Cricetulus griseus: one gene and its partners. The protein of the gene in region 2 binds, or shares a complex with, the protein of the main gene of each other region. Links are inferred from orthologs where the notes say so. Each region holds a gene or a part of one and is shown on either strand. Other genes may lie near its edges.

The links.
Region 1: Cenpa (region 2) and Cenpc share a complex: the UniProt entries of both Homo sapiens proteins name them as parts of the CENPA-NAC complex. The link is inferred for Cricetulus griseus from reciprocal best matches to the Homo sapiens genes CENPA and CENPC.
Region 3: the proteins of Cenpa (region 2) and Hjurp are in contact, whole or in part, in a crystal structure (PDB 3R45), measured with the Homo sapiens proteins. The link is inferred for Cricetulus griseus from reciprocal best matches to the Homo sapiens genes CENPA and HJURP. Residues at the interface, in NP_001800.1 of Homo sapiens: Lys64, Leu65, Ser68, Arg69, Arg72, Asp83, Phe84, Asn85, Trp86, Gln87, Ala88, Gln89, Leu91, Leu92, Ala93, Glu96, Ala97, Ala100, Phe101, His104, Glu107, Asp108, Leu111, Leu112, Leu114, His115, Ile132, Glu136; in NP_060880.3 of Homo sapiens: Glu14, Asp15, Leu18, Lys21, Leu22, Ser25, Arg26, Arg28, Phe29, Arg32, Met33, Leu36, Lys39, Tyr40, Pro43, Phe44, Thr47, Pro48, Val49, Val50, Gln51, Met52, Ala53, Thr54, Leu55, Ile65, Trp66, Gly67.
Region 4: the proteins of Cenpa (region 2) and Ntmt1 are in contact, whole or in part, in a crystal structure (PDB 5CVD), measured with the Homo sapiens proteins. The link is inferred for Cricetulus griseus from reciprocal best matches to the Homo sapiens genes CENPA and NTMT1. Residues at the interface, in NP_001800.1 of Homo sapiens: Gly2, Pro3, Arg4, Arg5, Arg6, Ser7; in NP_001273725.1 of Homo sapiens: Tyr19, Trp20, Met30, Leu31, Gly32, Tyr34, Ile37, Trp136, Asn168, Ile175, Asp177, Asp180, Asp212, Glu213, Ile214, Tyr215.

The regions. Positions count from the first base shown.
Region 1 is NW_023276807.1:151,258,595-151,263,588, forward strand, and holds part of Cenpc (centromere protein C), read right to left. Parts: intron 1,024-4,994; coding exon 869-1,023; intron 1-868. UniProt on the Homo sapiens protein: Component of the CENPA-NAC (nucleosome-associated) complex, a complex that plays a central role in assembly of kinetochore proteins, mitotic progression and chromosome segregation.
Region 2 is NC_048600.1:13,681,879-13,687,724, forward strand, and holds the start of Cenpa (histone H3-like centromeric protein A), read right to left. Parts: upstream 3,752-5,846; 5' UTR 3,661-3,751; coding exon 3,576-3,660; intron 1,772-3,575; coding exon 1,680-1,771; intron 1,280-1,679; coding exon 1,202-1,279; intron 943-1,201; coding exon 808-942; 3' UTR 786-807; intron 1-785. UniProt on the Homo sapiens protein: Histone H3-like nucleosomal protein that is specifically found in centromeric nucleosomes. Replaces conventional H3 in the nucleosome core of centromeric chromatin that serves as an assembly site for the inner kinetochore.
Region 3 is NC_048595.1:439,836,187-439,841,778, forward strand, and holds the start of Hjurp (Holliday junction recognition protein), read right to left. Parts: upstream 3,240-5,592; 5' UTR 3,120-3,239; coding exon 3,024-3,119; intron 2,893-3,023; coding exon 2,826-2,892; intron 440-2,825; coding exon 384-439; intron 1-383. UniProt on the Homo sapiens protein: Centromeric protein that plays a central role in the incorporation and maintenance of histone H3-like variant CENPA at centromeres.
Region 4 is NC_048599.1:142,487,787-142,493,555, reverse strand, and holds the start of Ntmt1 (N-terminal Xaa-Pro-Lys N-methyltransferase 1), read right to left. Parts: upstream 3,720-5,769; 5' UTR 3,717-3,719; coding exon 3,696-3,716; coding exon of another isoform or gene 3,580-3,695; exon of another isoform or gene 3,525-3,579; intron 3,431-3,524; coding exon of another isoform or gene 3,043-3,430; exon of another isoform or gene 2,895-3,042; intron 2,753-2,894; exon of another isoform or gene 2,624-2,752; intron 1-2,623. Other genes in the region: CUNH9orf50 (uncharacterized protein C9orf50 homolog), read left to right, coding at 3,043-3,430, 3,580-3,700, 3,775-3,867. UniProt on the Homo sapiens protein: Distributive alpha-N-methyltransferase that methylates the N-terminus of target proteins containing the N-terminal motif [Ala/Gly/Pro/Ser]-Pro-Lys when the initiator Met is cleaved.

The DNA of each region.
Region 1 (4,994 bases), on a different chromosome or scaffold from region 2:
AATATACTATACAATCAAGCCTGTCACATGTATAACTATGCAAAGAGAGATAATTGAAGGTAACTGCTTTAAGCCACTAGTATGTGGTACTTTGTTAGGTCAATAATAGAAAACTAATATGAATTCAATTTTGTTCATTCAATGTCATGAAAATTCAGTACTGCATTACCAGTAAACTTTACTAAAAAAAGAGAAATGTTATACAAGCTTCTTCAAAGGCTACATGTTTTCTGGATAACACACTTGTCAACAGGAATGATGAACCAGAGATAAGGAAAGTTATTACCACTCAAGAACATGCACAGCAGACATGTGTATACAGCAGATACTGAGACAAAGGGCTAGGAAGAAAGGAGGAAGGGAAGAAAGGAAGAAGGGAGAGAGGAAGGAAAAGAGTGAGACATACCAACTCATCATAAATCTCATTGTAACTTCAGACCCTGTCAAGTACAATAGCCTATTGGTACTGAATGGAGCAGCTAGCCCTTTGTCTGAAGGGCACTCTTAACTAGTTAAGTCATTTTTTAACTATTCTGATCCTCAACCATATGATTACAGAAGTTCACAAGACATAACCTCCATAATCTTCAGCTCTAAAATTCAATTTTATTAGCAAATCTATATTCTAAGATTCTCTTAAGAAACAATGACACCATAAACCACTGAACCTAAGGTTGTGCTATGCCCAGTACAGGTATTTTTAAATAATTACTGACTGGTTAACTGAAACACATTTAATAAAGGAAAAGATTTCTTTATGTAATAAACAATAAGATGTCACTACCAAGTAAATAGAATTTTAATGCATCATCTGAGAAAAAGAATCAGTTGTACTTCTAGAAAAGCAGAAATGGAGAAATATACTCACCAATATATCTTGGCCAACATGCTGCTTTCCTTTTTCTTCATAGGGTCCTAAAACCAATTTTCCAGTAGAAAAAAATGCTGTATCCAATGTTTTAAAAACTTTCAAACCATGTTGCTCCACGAAAAACTGGTATGTATCTCGTGGTCTTATAAGATCTAGGGGGAAAACAATAATACAAATATAAAGCAATCACAAGCTAAACATGTATACCAGCCTGTGACAGTCATCTCAGCACGTAGGGAACTAAGGAGGGTCACAAACTGGAAGTCCAGCTGGGTTACACATGGGAAACCCTACTGCAATAGTAGTGTTTAGTGAATAAGCATTTTTCTAAGAGCCATTTAGACCATACGTACATATAGGAAGTTCTATTACACAGGGTGAAGATGACTGACTCTGGAGCTGGGATGGTAAAGGTCCTATTCTGCCTGGCTCATAAATTACATGACTTTGGACTACTTAAGCTCTCTAAGCCTCCATTTCCTTTCTGTAAAAATGAGCCAACACCTATGTTCAAACAGCTTCTGTGAACATCAAAGGGTTAACATAAATCTATAGAGACAGCTGAACAAAGCTCTTGGAAACTCATGAACTCTAGACCTACAACTGTGGAGACTCCAGGGAACCGAACTAGGCCTTCCATATGTGGGAGACGGTTGTTAGCTTGGACTTTCTGAGGGGCCCCTGGCAGGAGGACCATGATACAAACCTGGTACATGAGCTAGCTTATTGGAGCCTATTCCTTAGGGTGAAATGTCATGCTCAGTGGCAGTAGGAGCATGATATAATCCCAATACATGAGCTAGCTTGTTGAAGCCCACTCCCTATGGTGGGATGCCATGCCTAGTCTTAATGCATGGGAGAGGGGGCCTGCCCCTAACCTTATTGTGCCAGACTATATTGACTCCTCATAGGAGCCTTTACCCATGAGGAAGAATGGACTGGGGGGGGGGGGTGGGAGAGTTGAGGGGAGATGGGAAAAAGTGAGGGGGTTGGAGGAGGGGTGGGAGGGAGAACTGTGGTAGAAATGTAAAAGGAAATCAAAAAGTAAAAAACATGTCACTGCTCAGCGTGCACCGGATCCAAATTTGGTGGTGGGATCCCATACAGCTAAGCCCCCGTGGCAATTCTGCCTCCATCCACTGGCCCAGATCAGAACTCGGTGGCGGAATCCGACACACCAGACCCTCCAGAGGCCCCAGTGGCAGTTCCAACTCCATCCACGAGAAAAGGACAGTCATAAGAGTATTGGATATCCCATCTACCAGAAGGGAACCTTAGCCCCATAACCACCAGGAGAGCAAGAGACTCCTGCTACACCCACGAGAAGAAAGGATGAGAAGAGGACAAGGTAAAAGCACATCCAACAACAGAAAACCCAATATGACACCACCGGAGACTAGGAATCATACACCAGCAAGACCTGAACATCACAATGCAGATGAAGCAAAAGAGAATGACCTTAAAAACATCTTCAGGAAAATGATAGAGAACCTCAAAGAGGACATGAGAAAAATCCCTTAAAGAAATGGAAGAAAAAACAAACCAAAAAATACAAGATATCAACAAATCTCTCAGACGACCAGAATCTAGGGACTCCACTCCAGCAAGATCTGAAAAGCCCAACACAGAGCATGAAGAAGAGATGGACCTCAAAAATTATCTCGGCAAGATGATAGAGACCTTTAAAGAGGAAACAAGAAAATCCCTTAAAGAAATAGAAGAAAAAGCAAACAAAAAATTATGCGAAATGGAGGAAAAGACAAACCAAAAAATTCAAGAAATAAACAAATCTCTTAAAGAATCTAAAGAAACCCAAGAAAAGACATCCAAACAAGTGAAGGAAGCTCTTGAAACAGTTCAAAGCATGAAAGCTAGATGCTGAAAAAGCCTTTGACAAAACCCAACATCCCTTCATGATAAAGATCTTGGAGAGAACAGGAATAACAGGAACATATCTAAACATGATAAACGCAATATACACCAAACCAATAGCCAACATCAAACTAAGTGGAGAGAAATTCAAAGCGTTTCCTCTAAAATCAGGAACAAGACAAGGCTGTCCACTCTCTCCATATCTCTTCAATATTGTACTTGAAGTTCTGGCTAGAGCAATAAGACAAGAAAAGAAGATCAAAGGAATACAAATTGGAAAGGATGAAGTCAAACTTTCACTATTTGCAGACATGATAGTCTACATTAGTGACCCGAAAAACTCTACCAGGGAACTCCTACGGCTGAAAAACACCTTCAGCAAGTTAGCAGGATACAAAATTAACTCAAAAAAATCAGTAGCCTTATTATATACAGATGATAAATCCAATGAGAAAGAAATCAGGGAAACATCACCTTTCACAATATCCAAAAGCCACATAAAATATCTTGGGGTAACACTAACCAAAAAAGTGAAAGACCTGTACAATAAGAACTTTGAGAATTTAAAGAAAGAAATTAAAGAAGATACCAGAAAATGGAAAGATCTCCCATGCTCTTGGATAGGTAGAATTAACATAGTAAAAATGGCAATCCTGCCAAAAGCAATCTACAGATTCAACACAATCCCCATCAAAATTCCAACAAAGTTTTTCACAGACATTGAAAGAACAATACTCAACTTTATATGGAAAAATAAAAAACCCAGGATAGCCAAAACAACTCTTTACAATAAAGGATCTTCTGGAGGTATCACCATCCCCGACTTCAAGCTCTACTATAGAGCCATAGTTCTGAAAACGGCTTGGTATTGGCACAAAAATAGACAGATAGACCAATGGAATCGAATTGAAAACCCTGATATTGACCCACGCACATACGAATGCCTTATTTTGACAAAGGTGCTAAATCTATACAATGGAAAAAAGATAGCATCTTCAACAAATGGTGCTGGTACAATTGGATTCGGACATGCAGAAAATTGCAGATAGATCCATACCTGTCACCATGCACAAAACTTAAGTGCAAATGGATCAAAGATCTCACCATAAATCCAGCCACTCTGAATCTTCTAGAAGAGAAATTAGGAATTACCCTTGAACAAATTGGCACAGGAGACCGCTTCCTGAACTTTACGCCAGTAGCACAGACATTGAGGTCTGCAATTAATAAATGGGACCTCCTGAAACTGAGAAGCTTCTGTAAGGCAAAGAAAACAGTCAGTAGGACAAAACAACCACCCACAAAATGGGAAAAGATCTTCACCGATCCCACATCTGACAGAGGACTGATTTCCAAAATATATAAGGAGCTCAAGAAGCTAGCCACCAAAACACCAAACAATGAAATTAAAAAGTGGGGTGCAGAACTAAATAGGGAATTCTCAACAGAGGAATCTGAAATGGCTGAAAGACACTTAAGAAAGTGCTCAAAATCATTGGCCATCAGAGAAATGCAACTCAGAACAACTCTGAGATACCACCTCACACCTGTCAGAATGGCTAAAATCAAAAACACCAATGACAATCTATGCAAGAGAGGATGTGGCGAAAAAGGAACACTCCTCCATTGCTGGCGGGAGTGCGAACTTGTAAGACCACTTTGGAAATCAGTATGGCAGTTGCTCAGAAAAATGGGAATCAGTCTACCTCAAGATCCAGCCATTCCTCTCTTGGGTATATACCCAAATAGTGCAGGTTCATACAACAAGGACATATATATGTTCACCCATGTTCATAGTAGCATTGTTTGTAATAGCCAGAACCTGGAAGCAACCTAGATGCCCCTAAACTGAAGAATGGATTGAGAAAATGTGGTACATTTATACAATGGAGTACTACTCAGCAGAAAAAAGCAATGGAATCTTGAAATTAGCAGGCAAATGATGGAACTAGAGGAAACCATCCTGAGTGAAGTAACCCAGTCACAAAAGACAAACATGGTATATACTCATTCATATATGAATTTTAGACATAGAGCAAAGGATTACCAGCCTATAATCCTCTTCACCAAAGAAACTAGGAAACATGAAGGACTCTAAGGGATAAATGGTCCCCAGGAATGGAAGTGGCATGAACTCCTGAACTAATTGGGAGCATGAGGGTAGGGGGGAGGGAGCTGCTACAATAAGAGCAAGAGAGGAGCAGTAGAGGAGAGGAAATGTAGGGGCAGAAATATTGAGTTGGGGGAAGAA
Region 2 (5,846 bases):
CTCACAGAGCCTGTCTCTGCCTCCTGAGTGCTGGGATTAAAGGCATGCGCTACCAATGCCCAGCCTAACAAGGCATTTCTATTTATTTATTTATTTATTTATTTATTTATTAACAAGGCATTTTTAAAAGAAAAATTTTCTTTAAAATTATGGAATTTGAGGGCAAGCATAGTGGTGCATACCTTTAATTCTAGCATTCGGGAGGCAGAGGCAGGTGAATCTCGGTGAGTTCGAGGCCAGCCTGGTCTACAGAGTGAGTGCCAGGACAGCCAAAGCAACACAGAGAAAACCCTGTCTTGAAAAGAAAACAACAACAACAACAACAAAAACCAAAGACCAAAACCACACACACACAAAAAAAAAGGGGGGGGGGGAACCCAGTCCTTGTAAATGGCAAGACGTACTACCAGCTATATGGAGCACAGCTCATATCTCCCCTTCTTTTTGAAGAAGGCTCTCACTATGCAGTGCCAGCTGCATCCTGCCTGGCACTTGAGTGAGTGAGATGCTCACATGTTCTTGAAATCCTTATCCTCCTGCTTTGGCTTCCCAAGTACTGGGGTTACAAGCATGAACCACTCACTACATCCAGCTTTTATTTTAACATTGTACAAAAAGACACGAACCATGACACATGCCTCCCAAGCAGTTGGGAAAGGCCAGACCTTAATTAGGGAACAAATAGGTGTGTTGGCAAGGGACCAAGGATGCATGACACTCTCCCCTTCAGACCAATATCCACTCCCAGCAACAAGCAGCACTCACTTCGAGCAGGAAAGACTTACGGACACACAGCACACTGCCAGCTCAGCCAAGTCCTCCCTCAATGCCTCGGATCCTCCTGGTGAGCTGTATGTCCTTGGGGAAGATAGTGACTCTGCCGGCATGTAAGGTGAGGAGATAGGCATCCTCAAAGAGGTGAACTAGAAATGCTTCTGCTGCCTGGGACACAAAGACTGACATGGATGAAGGACCTGGACTGTTTTTTCTTGGAGACATACTGACTCAAAGGACTGAAGTAAAGAATGGGGTGAACCCAATGGCCACCCATCAGACCCTCCCAAATTGTCAGGTATTGCCCATTGGCTACTCTTTTCAGGAGGCCAGGAACAGTCTGTGGTACCCACCCCTTATGCCGTCCTGTGGAATTCTGGGATGCTCTTCCCCCTTTTAGCCTTTACCAATACCTACTCCTTCTTACCTCTTGAAGGGCCAACAAGGCTTGGGCTTGCCAACATAGGTCCACACCTCGAGTGAATTTCCCACATATTTCTCTTACCTGTGGAGGAGCAGGGTGGGGATGAGCTGAGAATAGCAGAGTGATCAAAGAGTAGATGGTCTTTCTCCAAGTATCTCTAAGCATCCTCACTTCCACCATTATGTGCTGCCCTTGATCTAAGGGCCTGGCTCAGGGTAGGTGCGGACTCCTGGGAGCTTTAACTGGCATAGCTTATGGGTGGAGAGAAGAAAAGGCAATCTCCAGGGTATGGAGGGAAACTGGGTGAGAGGGCTCTACTACAGTAATGAGAAATCAGCAACAGAAAAACCGAGGATGTGCAGCGCCCCAGAGGGTTAGAAGCAACCTTTATCCACATCAGCAAGAAGCAGAAATCTCCCATATGTGGGAGGCTTAAAGCAAAGGTGGTCCAAGGCAGAGTGAGGGTGTCCCCAGAACTCACAACTCGGCTGAAAGGAAGCTTCCTTAGCAGGAGGTCGGTGCTCCTCTGCAGTTTCTTTATCTCCTTAAGCCACAGAAATTTCCGCCTCTTACCTGAGGAGAGTTAGGTCATAAGGGAAGTGCTGTGGAAATAAGTGGTACCTTGTGGCCCAGCTGAAGACAAACCTTGCCACTATACTCCACAGAGCAGGGATTCTCTTTTTTCTAGTTGGTGGAGTCAGCAAGAGCACACGAGTGCTTGCCACACACTGAGTGTGAAAAGACACACAGGTGCTCACCACAGGCTTACTAAGAGAGTGAGTGCAGTCTGGGCCTTTGGGTTGGAGTGTTAACTCCATGAAGCCTTTCTCAAATCCCAGTTCCTTCCTAACAGATCCTTCCTGTTGGGTCCCATGCATTTCATATCTTTCCCATTCCCACCTAGATGTTCCAAGTTCGTTATTCAGTTTTTAGGTCCTTTCTTTCTTTGTAACAGCTGGAGGGAATGAGATACTACCTAGTACGGATCTCTTATCTTGCTTGTCTTGGGCCCAGGGAAGTAAAGATAGTTGGCTAGTGCTCATTAGAGGCCAAGTTGGGACCTTAGAAGTGGCATAATTCAGTGCTAATGCTAGGAATGCGGGCTGTGAAGCCACAGCCTTTGGTAAAAATTCAAATTCTCACTAGAAAATAAAAATACCAAACTTAAAAAAAACCCTCTGCTCTAGAGATGCAGCTCTGCAGTAAAGTGCTTGATCAACATGCACAAAGCCACAGGTTCAAACCCCTGAAACACAAAGAAAAAATACATCTAACCCTAATGTTGAAGAGGAAACTTAACTGATATTAGACTATTTAAGATGAATAATATAAAAATTTACTTTTAAAAACCTAAAAGAGCCAGGTGGTGGTGGCGCACGCCTTTAGTCCCAGCACTCGGGAGGCAGAGACAGGAGGATCTCTGTGAGTTCGAGGCCAGCCTGGTCTCCAGAGTGAGTTCCTGGACAGCCAGGGCTACACAGAGAAACCCGCCTTCAAAACAAAACAAAACATAAAACAACTAAAAGCACCAGAGGCAAACATATCTAGTAGAAAACAAGAATGCCAAATGAATTAAGGCCTAGCTAGAGATGGTTCAGTGGTCAGAGTGTGTATCATTGTTAAGGAGGAGTCAAGTTTGGCTCCTAGCGCCTACATCAGGTGGCTCATACTGCCTATACTTTAGGTCCAGGGGGCACTAATGACTTGGGCACCTGTACTACGGTGCATATACATATGATTAGAAATAAAAATTGGAGCTGGAGAGATGGCTCATTGGTTAAGAGTATTTGTTGTTCTTGCAGAGGTTCTAGGTTTGGTGTGCGTGCACACGTGTACACACACATAAACACACAAATGCAGGCAAACATGAACACATGTAAATAATAATGTGCTGGTCTGAAAAAATGGCCCCACAGGCCCATAGGGAGTGGCACTAGTTGGACATGTGGCGTTGTTGGACGAGGCATGCCACTAGGGGTGGGCTTTGAGGTCTCAGAAGCTCCAGTGTGTCATCATTACTTCCTGCTGCCTCCAGATCCAGATCCAGAACTCTCAGCTTCCCCCAGCATCACGTCTGCCCCATGCCTCCAGCCCAAATGGCCGTGGACAGAACTCTCAACTGTGAGTCAAGGGAGGACAGAAGAAACGCCAGTGATTTGAACTAGGCTGGGGAGACCAAGTATGCTAGTAAAATAATAAAATGTTGGGCTTGGAAAGCTTGCTCAACAGTTAAACAGCGCTTGTCGCTCTTCCAGAAGGCCTGAGCTGTGTTCTCAGCACCCTTACCCTTAGGCCTGTGGTTTCCCGGGTTCGGAACCCTCTTCAAGCCGGCCGTCCCCAGCACCCTCAGAGCTGAGGTTCCGGCAGGCCCGCTTACCTGGACGGGAGCTGCGTCGCGAGGGTCCGGGGACCGGGCTGGAGGGGCGCCTTCTCGGGGTCCTCGGCTTGCGGCGCGGGCCCATGGTTGGCCGCGAGTGGGTCCAAGCTCCGCCGCCTCCGCTAAGCCCGACGAGAGAGCGAGGTGACTGAGCGTGTCAGAGCCGCAGGAGCTCGGCCGCCATCAGTTTGAAAAAAACCCACCCCGCCTACCGCATTTTTTAAATCCCCAATTCCGTGACTCTCAGTGGCTGGCTCTGGAACGCCACCGTGGAGCGACAGCCACAAGGACCAGTGAGAATGAGGGTCTGGCCGCAGAGTCAGCCAATGGGCACTTGGAGAAGCTAAGGAAGGCGGGGCTTTCTCACATTTTGCGTGTTGATCTTTGACTGACCCGACTAGCTTGCTCTGGTGCCCTCTGGGCAAAAGGACAACTCAGTCTGATGTAGGTGGTGAGTTTTTAGAATTCATTCCCTCAAACGTTTTACGCTTTCGTATCAACGTTGGTGTGGCTTTGAGAATGGAGAAACAGACCGCCCAAAAATGTGACACTCCACACAGCTCCCGGGAGGGACCCTCCCGAGAGCAACCAGCAAATAGGATTCAGAGGCCAGGTTAACACCGTGAACTTTTCTAGGGTCGAGGGGACAGCCAGGACGATGGGATCTGAGGACAAGGTCCAGGCAGGGCACGAGCCAGCACTGTTCCTGGACTATACTATTGAACACCATGACAGAACTGTCAGAGAAAAAAAAAAAAAACAGCTTTTCCCTTTCTCCTGGGAGTAATATGAATTCGGGTCATATCTCTGCAATTAGAATAAAGAGGATTTCAATTTCGTCATTTTGCTTTTTTGAGTTTTCTAAATGCTCTACCATGAACGTGTACTCTAATCAAGAATCTCCTTATATAATCAGTGGTTTCACAGAACCCTTCTGCAACACTGGGGTGGGTGGTGTAAAATGGTGCAGCTGCTATGGAAATGTGTCATGGCTGGAACCTGAAATGTCCTACAGAAGCTTGGTCCCAAGTGCAGCAGTGCTCAGGGGTGGGGGCTTTGGGAGATGGGGCCATAGGTGCCCTGACTTCATCTGTGGATCTTAATTCCAGCATTTGGGAGGTAGAGGCAAGAGGTTTGCTCTAAGTTCAGGGCAGCCTAGCTTAGTGAGTTCTAGGCTAGTCATCCTATGTAGTAAAATTTGTCTCAAACAAACAAAAAACCAAACAAACAAAGGCTGACATAGCTCATGTTAAAGCACTTGCCTCATATACAAGGTTCTGTGTTCAATCCTCAGTATGCTACCTACAAACACATAATTTAAACATAGAATTACTATATGATGCTGGGCGGTGGTGGCATACACCTTTAGTCCCAGCACTCAGGAGGCAGAGACAGGCGGATGTCTGTGAATTTGAGACCAGCCTGGTCTACTAGAGCTAGTTCCAGGACAGACTCCAAAGCCACAGAGAAACCCTGTCTTGAAAAACAAACAAACAAACAAACAAACAAACAAAAAACAAAACAAAGAATTACTATATGACTTAGAGGTCCATGTTATATATCTAAAGGAACCAGAAGTAGGAATACATACATACATACATACATACATACATACATATATATATATATATTCATTCATTCATAGCAGTTTTACTCACAATGACCAATCAGTGGAAAGTACCTGAGTGTCCATCAGCAAATGAATAGAGAAAATGAATATACAATGGTGTTATTCACCTTTAAAAAGGGAAGAATTTCTGACATAAGCTGCATGGATGAACCTTGAAATCACTATGCTAAGTGACATAAGCTAGTCACAAAAAGATCACTGGTCTATGATTCCACTGACATGAGGTAGGTATGAGAGTGGTTGAATTCATTGAGAGAAAGTAGAATGGTGGTTTCCAGGAGCTGGGAGGGTGGATAATGGGGTTATTGTTGAGTGGGGACAGAGTTTCCAATTGGGAAGTGAAAGCAGCCTTATAGACTGATGACAGTTGTGGTTGTATCACATGTATGCTCTTAATGCCATCAAAATTTTATATTTACTATAAAAAAGAGAAAAGGAGGGTTCTAAGTTTTTAAGGTATGGTCAAATCACAGAAAGATGATCCCACCTTCCACCTCCAGTTATCTAGTTCAACATGGACTGAAGAAATCCGCATCCTTAGCAACTGTTAATTAGACAGAGAAAATTTCACTTATGAACTCTGCTTTAGACAGATAGCCCTTTATTAAGCTAGAAGTAGAAAGCTGGTGGAAGACAGAATC
Region 3 (5,592 bases), on a different chromosome or scaffold from region 2:
GAAACCCTGCAGAAGGGTGTGTGATTCTGCACTCTCGCCTCTTCATCCTTCTGCTTCCTGGTTTCAGAGGATGAAAGGGCCATTGTTTTTATCAAAAGAAATGAGATTTGGTCTTTTTTTGTAAGGCCCCAACAAAGGAGTCTCTAGCTGGTCTAGTACACAGTCTGCAGGTCCCCAATCTGGTCCAGCATCGGCACACATGAGACGGTTCTGAGGGCCCTGTGAACTACGATGGAGAAAATTTAGCACACAAGAGCCAGGCAACAGAAGAAATACCTGAGGTGGGTCTCTCGAAGCTCTCAGCAGTGGCCTCAGGGCTCACTCACACAGGGATTTAGTCAACACTACAGTAAAGCATTAAAGGTAAACTTGACGATAATTACCTGAGTTTGTTCCTTGCTTTTTTCCTTTATCAACTTTCCTCCCCAAACTCTCAATCCTTAAAAAAAAATGAAGATGACAATTGAAGGAATCCAAAATGCTCAGTTGCACTGACAGAAAACCAAGCTGGATGGCACAAAAGGCTGTACACTAAAAACAATCCAGGTTTTGGCAGTGTTGGACAAACCTATCATTAATGACAATTCTCTCCTACCCAGAAGGCAGCAGCTTACCTGATTTCAGCACTAACCTGAAGCGCTAAGGACAGTTCATATTCTAAATACATACTACATGCATATTGACTGGAGAGGGGGCACATATACCATACATTTACAGAGCAAGCATTCCCCACCCCCTCCCTGAGACAAGGGTTTCTGTCTAGCCTTAGCTGTTCTGAAACTCACTCTGTAGACAAGGCTGGCCTTGAACTCAAAAAGATAAATCTGCCTCTGCCTTCCCCAGTGCTGGGATTAAAGGCGTGCACCACCACTGCCTGGCTTAGAACAAGGGTTTTTACAGGGCATTTTTTGTACCCCATCCTTGGCTTTCCTAGGGCAATCTACTGGCCTAATACAGAGAAGCCTGCATACAGAGAACTCTGGAGTTCAAGTGCACCGTCCCTGTCACTCACTAGCTAGCAGAACCTGTGCAATATACTCCTTCTAAAGTTACTAAGAAAGAATGGTGGGTTTTGAGGTATGAGATGACTGTATTATAACAGAAGCATAAAAAAATTTACACAGCACTCTCTATGCTCCAGATTTTTACCAAGGAGACACCATTTAGTACCCACAACCCATCTGCATGTAACTCCTACACCCACCCAGAAGCCCACGGGGAACAGAGACTTAGCATGTTTGCTGTGGACAGACACGCAAAGGAAAAGGAAGTTCAGACGACTAGCCCAGGCTCTCCACTCATGTAGAGGAGCCAGCACGTGACTTCTGGGAGGTGCTGACTGCACTTGATCACTGTACAACACAGTCTTTCCAGAAGACAGCGATGCTTGAGTATATGGGTTCATGAGTCAAACTGAGGCTTTGCTGCCCTGGCTGAGTGGCCCTCTCTGTGGGAATCTACCTTTGACAGCAATGGTTTTTAAAAGGGGCTTCTACTGCAGGGTTGAAACTGGACTTCACAACTTCACAAGTGCAGGCACAGGTGAACCATCAACACAGGCAAATGAATCTATTCCTGCTGCTGCTGCTGCCACAATCACTGTCTTTGATGGGGGTTCATGCTATTGCACAGGGAGGGTCAGGAGCATCTTTGGAAAGGCCATGCCAAAGACTCTCTCAGATTAAGTAATGGGACGTTGGGACTCATGGCATGAATACAAGCTACGAGCTTGCTAGGATGCAGAGTTATTAACAATTGCAGCCCTAGGAGTCCATGTGCTGGCCAGTTCTCAGGGAGGGCCCTTTATATGCCAACACGGGATGGTCTCAAACTCTTCAGATACTTCACTGTTGTTCTCATATAACTGACATCAGGTTTTCATGGACAAAATGAGTGTTATTCAAGATAGATAGACTGTCCAAAACATTCCAGACGCTGCCCACCCCTGCATGAACAGTCACAAGAACACAGAGAAGCCTACAGACAGACAGCACCCTCAAAGACCCCTGTATTACTGTATCCAGATCCCACCCAGAGCAAAAAAACAACCTGCTGCAGTATTATTTCTGTTTCTGTGTAAAACTTTCACTGAACATGTGCCTTGAACAGTCAAAAAGACAAAGGGCAAAGACTGCACTTGTCAAAGAGTGGGTTCTATAGACTCTTGGCAGACTGTGATGTGAAATCAGATTTTATTACTAAATGATGAGTCTTATGGAAGGAACTAACCTCATCAAATGCAAACACACCCCAGTTAAAGAATCCAAGCAAGAGGTGCCAGGCGTTGGCGGCACACGCCTTTAATCCCAGCACTCGGGAGACAGAGGCAGGCGCATCTCTGTGAGTTCGAGGCCAGCCTGGTCTCCAGAGCGAGTGCCAGGATAGGCTCCAACGCTACACAGAGAAACCCTGTCTCGAAAAAACAAAACAAAACAAAACAAAGGTTTAAGGCAGTCCACAACATTTAATAAAATGGCTCCGGAGAGGCAGACTGATGGACTGTCTACAACAGATGGGTCCGAGTTACACAGCACAACTCGTGAGAGCCGAGCAGTTCCAATGGCTTTGCAGGCACTCCGGTACCCATGGTTGTCAACGTCCTTTTTACTTTACGGAGACACTGTGCTGCCTTTAAGCAATTAGCTCGGGCTTCCGCGCCGGGCGTTTAAAAACTCAGGCTGCATCTGTGTCTCCGGGCATTGCTTTTAGAGAAATGACTTGGAACTCAGCAACTCACGGTTGCAAAGTGAGGGGAACAAGTGCCGCGTTGCAAATTCTAGACCCCACCATTCTAGCACACTGCCAAGAGGAGGAAGGTTCCGTACCCTGGGGCGTCTCGTAGGTCAGCGTGGACATCTGCACCAAAGGGTCGTCCTCAAAGGGCTGGTTGTACTGCGGGGAAAGAGAGCTGCTGATCAGATCCTCGGCGCTGGATCCCCGCCCGCCCGCCCGCTGCCGCTGCCGCTGCCCGCTGCCCGCGCCCGCTGCCCGCTGCCCGCCTCGGCCAGCCCAGCCCAGCCCACCTTCGCTATCAGCCGATGCATGAACGTCTGGAAACGGTTCCGGCTTTCCTGGAGATGCCGCAGCAGCCTGTTATCCGGCTGGTCTTTAGGATCCATGGCGCAGGCCGCTCACAGCCTGGAATCCGCACAGTCCAAGCCGGCGCACAGATCAAACGGGCCGCCCGTCGCGCTGATAGGGCCTTTCAAACGTATTTACGCAACCGATCCTGCCTGTGCTTCCGGTCGCCTCTCCCAGGGAGCGCTTCCGGCGGAAACGAAGGAGGGAGGGCAGCCGGAGAGGGTGGAACATGCGCATTGCGTCCCCATGAGGCACTCCCGCGCCCTCTAGAGGCGCCTGGACGAATTGCCTGCGTGTCCCCGCGGGGTCCCGGAGGCGGTCCCTGTCCCCATCCTTTTGGGTCGCCAGCTTGGAAGGGCTGAGAGAAAGACAGCGCCAAATAACTGTCCCGAAAGGAGTCAGGAAAGCCAGGGTTCATAAATTCCAACAAAAGGCACGTTTAAAGGTGCTGACAGATACTATGAATGTGACAAAATCTATGGTTTTTATCCTAGGGTTTTGATCAACTCCCTTTCCAATTTCTGATTATATACTGTTTCTTGAGAGGACTGGTAATTAGGTGTCCATTTTATGAGGGCATTTACTTTGGTTGACATTTTAGAAATGTTTCACATAAGTTTTTTTGGATTTTGTCTTCTTGTGGGGTTGGGGGATTGAACCCTAGTTTAGGATGGTTTTACTCTGTCTTCATAACAGTTGCATTTGTGTGCTTGTGTTGGTGTGAGTATCTCAAAGTGGGTGATAACGGAATCATTACTGAGGACCTGCACCATAATCTTCCCACGCTGTCCTGTTGAAGCTGCAGAGGGAAGAGGCTCTGGCAGGCGCATGGGCTGTGGATGTCCGCACAATGTATTTGCTGCAGGCACAGAGAGAGGCTATCAAGTCGCTTTCAAGATGCTTAGCTTAGGGCCCTCAGTTGTCTGACTCTCTTGGCGTTGTTTACTGATGGGGGCTGCACCATCCAAACTGCCAGCGTGACCCTGGCCCATGGGGGGATGCGAAGGCTGTGCTGTTTGAGTGCAAAGGGGGTCAACCAGACACAGCATTCGGCCCCCCAGTGCCTCCGTGTCTTCCCCGTCGCCGTGAGCTGAATTTCTCTGAACTGAAAGCTAATATAAATCTTTCCTTCCTTAACTTGCTGTTTTTGCTAGGTATTTATCACAGATAATTTTGAGGAAAATCAAGTAAAGAAATTACATAAATGAAACAGAACAGATACTTTTGTCCTAAATGTTTTTATATTAGTGAAGATATATACAATTCAAGGATCTGCTATATTTTATTAATAAAAATAGTTTTAAAATATTTGATGCTATTTACAAGCCATATTTTGCTAATTATTGAAGGAGTTTTCAAATATAGTGATGTGAAATCTGGTCGTGAAGGTTAAATATTAAGTATATACAGGCATACATGCTGGCAGAACACTGTATACATAATAAATAAATCTTTAAAAAAACATGTTTGTGCTTTGATGTCATGAAGCCACATTTTGAAATCTAAGCAATTAAAAATGTTGACAGGGGTTTAGCCTAGGGATATTTATGAAGCACTAACCACATGTTCAATACTCTGAGGGTGCTGGGTAACTTAGTTGCATACCATCTATGTTCCATTAAGTTTTTGTTCTGTTTTGGTTTATTTGTTTGTTTGTTTTTGTTTTTTTTTCGAGACAGGACCAGGCTGGCCTCGAACTCACAGAGATTCGCCTGCCTCTGCCTCCCAAGTGCTGGGATTAAAGGCGTGTGCCACCAACGCCTGGCCTGTTCCATTAAGTTTTAATGGTATCTAAAGTGAATATGGCATTTAAGTCTTAACCGTAAGTTCTAAACATATACATTATATGCCTGTACTTTTCAAATGTCTGGATGGGTCTGGAGAGATGGCTCAGCAGTTAAGACTGTGTGCACCTCTTGCAGAGGAACCACGTTCAGTTCCTGGTGCCTTTGTCAGGCTGCTCACAAACACCAGTAACTCCAGTTCCAGAGGATTTTCTGACCCCAACATGTACCCACACTCATGTGTAGATGCCTGCCTACACATAATTAAATATAATAAATCTTTGAAAAATGTGTATGTTTTCACAACTTGAGTGTGCATTTAGGAAAATCTCCATGATATATTCAGACCAATGATGGCATAATAGAATATTTTTTTGTTACAAACTGTTTGGCTTATTGAATATTTTTAATATTAGCTTTCTCTGGCCACATTTTCCAGAATGGGTGCCTGTTATGCAATGTGAGGCTGTGTTATTCATGGAATAAAAGAACACAGACAAACAATCACTTGTTTTTCCTCTGGTTATACAAAATTAGAATATTTTTATCCCAGTGAGACACATAAGGCTCCAGACATCCTAAACCTGTCTCCATGCAACTGAGCCATGTTTTATCATCATGGCACCTCACCTCTCCAGTCTTACCCAGAAGTGTTTTTTTCCCTGAAAAAATAGGGCTAAGGCTTTGGTGATATTTCTGCTCTACCTTCAAGTGGTGGGAAATTTTT
Region 4 (5,769 bases), on a different chromosome or scaffold from region 2:
TTCGAGTGCTGGGATTAAAAGAATGCTCTACCATTAACGTACTCAATGTGTACATTAATGTAATGAAGGCTATAGAGATTTAAGAGGCAGAAAAACCCCACCCACGATGGAGTCCCACCCTAAATCTGTGTACATATCATTTGATATCTGCTCTGAAGTGTTGTAGGTCATATCTGGTCTCAATAGTTTAAAGAGCTTGTCATCAGCATGCAGTGATGAGTGCCTGTAATCCTAGCCTTTGGGAATCAGAGCCAGAATGCCGGGGTCAAAGGTCATCTCAGCAGTAAATTCAATACCAGCCTATACTGCCTGAGACCTCCTCTCAGAAACAAAAACAAAAGCCAGGGCATGGAGAGATGATGGCTTGTGGCTCAGAGTTAAGAGTACCTGCTGTAGGTAGGGTGGCAGCACAGCCTTTAATCCCAGCACTCCAAGGACTCAAACACAAATGCAATCTTGTGTGTGTATGCATTCATGGGGCAGAGGCAGGTACATCTCTGTGAGTTCAAGGCAAACCTGGTCTATATAGTGAGTTCCAGGACATCAACAGCTACATAGTGAAAGCATGTTTCAAAATTAATAATAATAATAATATGCAGGTTTGGGGGCTGCTCATAAAAGCAGATACAAGCACATACTGCTCTTGCAGAAGATCTGACTTCAGTCCTCAGAACAAACACTGTAACTCCAGCTCCAGAGGAGTCAGCGCTCACTTGTGGCTTCCAAGTGCACATGCCCACACACAGATACACACCTATACTCATAGTTTTAAGTAATTATACAATAATGACATAACTCAGTTGGTAAAGTGATCGCCTAGCATGCACCACATGAAACCAGTTGCAGCAGTGCATGCCTGCAATCCCAGTACTTAGGAGGGGGAGGTATCCTTCACTTGGTAGAAGGATCAGGAGTTCAAGGTCATCCTTGACTAGTGAGTTTGAGAGCTAAGGAAACCCCGTCTTAGAAAAAAAACAAAAAAGAAATTAGTTTATGTCTCCCACTCAATATTCTAACTTCCTGAGGAAATATGTGCCTCTATCCCTCTGAAGAAAGTCGCAGAAAATCTTTCATGACGCCTCCTGTGGGCATGTGAGTGATACTCACTTTTTTTAAACCATAAAATTGTACCATACCTGCATATACTTGTCTCCACTGTACCCTCAACCCCCAACCTGAGTTCTACACTCTCATGGGCTTCCTCCAGGTCTCTCCCAACTACAACTCACGGGCTCATCCATCTACCTATCCTATTGACTCATGGAACTCCCAGAATTAAAAACCCATTAGCATCATATAGCCAAGAGAAGCAGAAAATGAACTTAACCTTGCTTTGTGGGTTTCTAGGCCCACTGTGTTCTTCCTGTCCTATGAGGGTGAGACTGACAGGAAGAAGTCCTGTCCTTCCCACTCAGCCAAGTATAGCCACTCTGGGTCTGGAAAAGTAGCTGAAACTGGCCTATTCCTCTCTGGATTAAGCATGGCTGCCCTGGCCAGGAGTACCAAGGCCTCTGTGGGTATGGGTGTGGCTGTGGCTGTGGCTGTGGCATCCAGGGCACACAAGCTCCACCTCTGTCCCCAGGCCACATTGCCCATTGCTCTCCAGTAGCTATGGGTGAAAGTGGAGCCAGATCACAATCACTCCAAGAAGACTTGCAGGCACCTGGGAGGGGCCACCAGAGGCAGCAGGTGGAAAGATGGGCTCTCCCAGCAAATAGCCCACCTGTTGGGGGGCTCTAAACTCACAGGACCTTCCAGGGCCTCACCCAGCATACCCTACAAGGTGAGTGAGATGTCTCCCAGAAATCAGTTTAGAGCTGATGATGACAATCTGAGAATAGGGTATGCTTGGGGAAGAAGCAGTCCTGGAGACTGCAGCCCCCCACTGCCAACCACCAATATCAGAGATGAAGGGGGACTGAGGCTTTCCTCCCTAATTGGGAGTTTGATCAAAATGTGTCTTGACTTTGGATGTGGCTTGATGGTGGAGCACTTGTCTCTGTCTCATCCCCAACAGTGTGGGGGGGGGCAGTAAAACTGGTCTTGGCTTCTCCCGAGACCCCCTGTCAGAATCTAGGCTAGGAGGTGGGAGAAAGCCATGTGTATTTGCAGCTTGCTCTGATTCTGAGAGCAGGCTGCCCGATTCCCATTGAAGTCTACAGCCAGTAGGAGATCAGCCCTCCCATGCCTCCTTCCTCTGTGGCCTTCAGTCAGGTATGAGCAGCAGGTGGTAGTCCACATTTGTAATCCCAGAATTTGGAAAACAGAGGCAGAGGGTCAATGGAGTCTAGGCCAGCTTGTGCCATTTAGGGGGACCCTTCCTCAAAATGAACAGAGAGGCAGGGTTTCTCTGTAACAGTTCTGGCTGTCCTGGAACTCACTCTGTAGATTAGGTTGGCCTTGAACTCAGAGATACACCTGCTTCTGCTTCAAAGTGCTGGGATTAAAGGTGTGCACCACTACATCTGGCAATAGCCTTAAATTTAAGAAAAATTTAAATGTATGTATATGCGTGTTTTGCCTACATAGTTGTGCACCACATGTGTGCCTGGTGCCCTCAGAGACTAGAAGAGGGTGATAGATCCCCCCCCCCCCGGGACTAGAGGTTGAGAGCTGTACTCACTGCTGGGGCAGGATTTGGGAATCGAACCCGGGCCCTCTCACTGATCCATCTCTCCAGCCTCTACCTCCCAAATTCTGGGACCACAAGCATGGGCTGTCACGCTCAGTTTTTCAAGCATTCTAGTCAAGCCCTCTCCCAACTATGCTAAATAAGAAAGGCAGCAGGTGCCCACGCCCTGCACTGTGCCAGTTGCCCGGCATGTACTAGCTCACATCAACGTCACAGCCGCCCCCAAAGGGCTGGCCTCGCCTTCGCAGTCTTTGAGCGCAGACACAGCAGGGGAGGGTACTGCCGGAGCCGGGTCGCTGCCCCTACCAGGCGCTATGGCCTGCGGGCTGGTGCGCGACCTCCCCGCGGTCCCCCTTGCCCCCGCGCGTCCCCCAGGCGCGAAGATGTCCTGAGCTGAGCTCGGACTCACGATGTACCGGCGCCAGCCCGCAGCGGGGACCCCGGTCTACGTGCCCAAGGGGTGGACCGACCGGGCCGCCTCACGCCGCTCCACTCCGCTGCTTCCTCGGCTGTTCACGTCCGACTCCCGTACGCGAGGCTCAGCCGGCGCGTGGTGGCAGAACAGCGATCGCCTGCCCTACCTGTCCCCCGGGGTCCCGTATGGGCCGCGGAGCCGCGGGACCTTGAGAACGCTGGTGCTGCCGCCGCTACCGTACAGCACGGCCCGGGGGGCGGGGGCCCGGGGGACACGGCAGCCGGCTGTATCCGTGGGCACACTTCTGGGGCAATTTCTGCCCACCAAATTCCGCGACTTCCTGCACCATCTGCGCACCAAGTACACAGAGCCCCAGGCGCACCGTGAGGCCATGGGAACTGGGGTGGGGTGGCATAAGGTGTGGGGCTAGGGTCCCGGGCTAGGGTCCCTCCCCAGTGAGGACCATCCCCAGCTCACTGGGTTTCCTCCTCTTCTTCCTTCTCCCTTTCTTCCTTCTCTTCTCTCCTTCCAGCACCCTCAGCGCCACAGTACCCCAAGGGTGCGTCAGAGCACTACCCAGGTTTGCGCAATCCCAGTTGCTCATTCTACCCAGGTTTGCGCAATCCCAGTTGCTCATTCCTCCCAGACCTGTGGTAAGTGGAGACACATTCTTGGTGAAGGAGGGGTTGCCCTGGTTGCTGCTGGAGTGGTGCTCTTTGTCTTCAAGGGACCAACCGTCGCACTCGGAAGACAGTTTTAAAAAGAAGCCTACCGCGGGGCTCCCAAGAGGCGAATTCATCACAGCCAGAAAGGCCAACGCGTGAGTAGTAGAAGTTGTGAGGACACACGTGCTATAGCTTTGTGGAGTTGGCTCTCTCCTCCCACCTTCACGTGGGTTGTGTGTGTGTGTGTGGTGAAACAAAGGCCACTAGGCTTACCTGTCATCACCTTTACCCATTAAGCCATCTCATCTCCCCAACCCATGAGTTATGGGAGCGGGAAGGCATTCCTTTGCTCCCTCATTTCCAGTCATTCATTGGTGGATTTACCATCCATCGACCTATTCATCCTTGCATGTGCCTTAGGCATGAACTACGAGCTATTGTAAATCTCTCACACATCTATCCATCAGGGCATCTATTGGCCATGAACCTTTAACTGCCCCCGACAGCCAGTTTTCTATCTATCCACAATTTCCCCCTGGTTATAGCTGCCCAGCAACTATACTTTCTTTCACTTATAAACCCAGGGCACCAATCACCAGAGTAATAAGGCCACCCATAAGGTTCCATCCACATCTGTCTGTATAACCATACAGCTACCCACCCTGAGATTCAGCCCTTCAGTTCAGATCCTGTTATAAATCCACCCATCGCTGCATCCTTCTCTCATGTTCTATCATTACCCACTTACGAAGTTTACTCTGTATCAAATACGAACTAAAAGGCAATGGGATGGAAGCAAGAAAGATCCTGGGGCACTTATGATGCTTACCTGAACCCGAATGCTAGAGAGCTCTTAATAGAGGGGGGAAAGAAACAGCAGGTTTAATAGGCTAGAGCAAGGGTGAAGAGCACTGTCTGGGAGTTTAAAGACTAGAGAGCTGGGAGTGGTGATGTACTAACAAACAAACAAAACAAGAAACAAACAAAAAAAACTATGTTTTTTTTAGATATGAGTGTTCTGTCTGCATGTGTGCCTGCAGGCCAGAAGAGGGCATCAGATCCCATTGTAGATGGTTGTGAGCTACCGTGTGGTTGCTGGGAATTGACCTCAGGACCTCTGGAAGAGCAGCCAGTGATCTTAACCTCTGAACCATCTCTCTAGCCCCAGTGGTGCACATTTTTAGTCTTGGCATTCAGGAGGCAGAGGCAGGCAACTCTGTGAATTGGAGGATAGCCTGGTCTACATAGTGAGTTCCAGGACAGCCAAGGATCATGCAGTGAGACACCGTCTCAATAAATTAATTTAGGGAAGGATGGATAGATGGACCAGAGAACATGCATACACAGCAAGCATACTATTACTGTCCCATCTGTACTGATGCCAGACAATACTAATCCATTACTGCACATTTCTGTGTGAGCCTCAGAACCCTTCCTGACATAGTTCTTGACTAGGAGGATGGAGAGATGCCTCACCCAGGTTCAATTCCCAGCACCTACATGGAAGCTCACAACTGTAACTCTAGATCTAGAGGATCCAACACCTCACACAGACATAGATGCAGGAAAAACACTAATGCACATAAAATAAAAATAAGTAAATCGTTACAAAAAAGTTTAGACTAGAGTTGGACACTTATTGATATGTAACATTCCCTCAGTACATTCCTTTGGCTCCAGTGGTCTGCCCTAGGCAGGAAAGCCATGATCTTGTACCGGCAGGCAGAGCTGGGAGCTGCCTAAGCCTGGCCCTGTGGCCAGGACAAAGCTGAGGTTTGTATGCACACAACTGTGGCCTAACTGAGCTCCAATACCTATACCCAGGTTCTGCCCTAGTCACCCCAGCTGTGTGGCTTTTTGATGGACAGATAAGAAACACATCCTCTTCGTCTACAAGGAGATGGCACAGGAAAACTGGTGCAGATGTGTACATATGTGTGCCCAAGGTGAAATGCAATGGGTCATTTCCGAGTGACCAAGTAACCAGGCTTGCAGTCTAGGCCCTGAGGGAGAAATGAACTATTTTTAACCATTACACATAAATATAGCATGCCCTT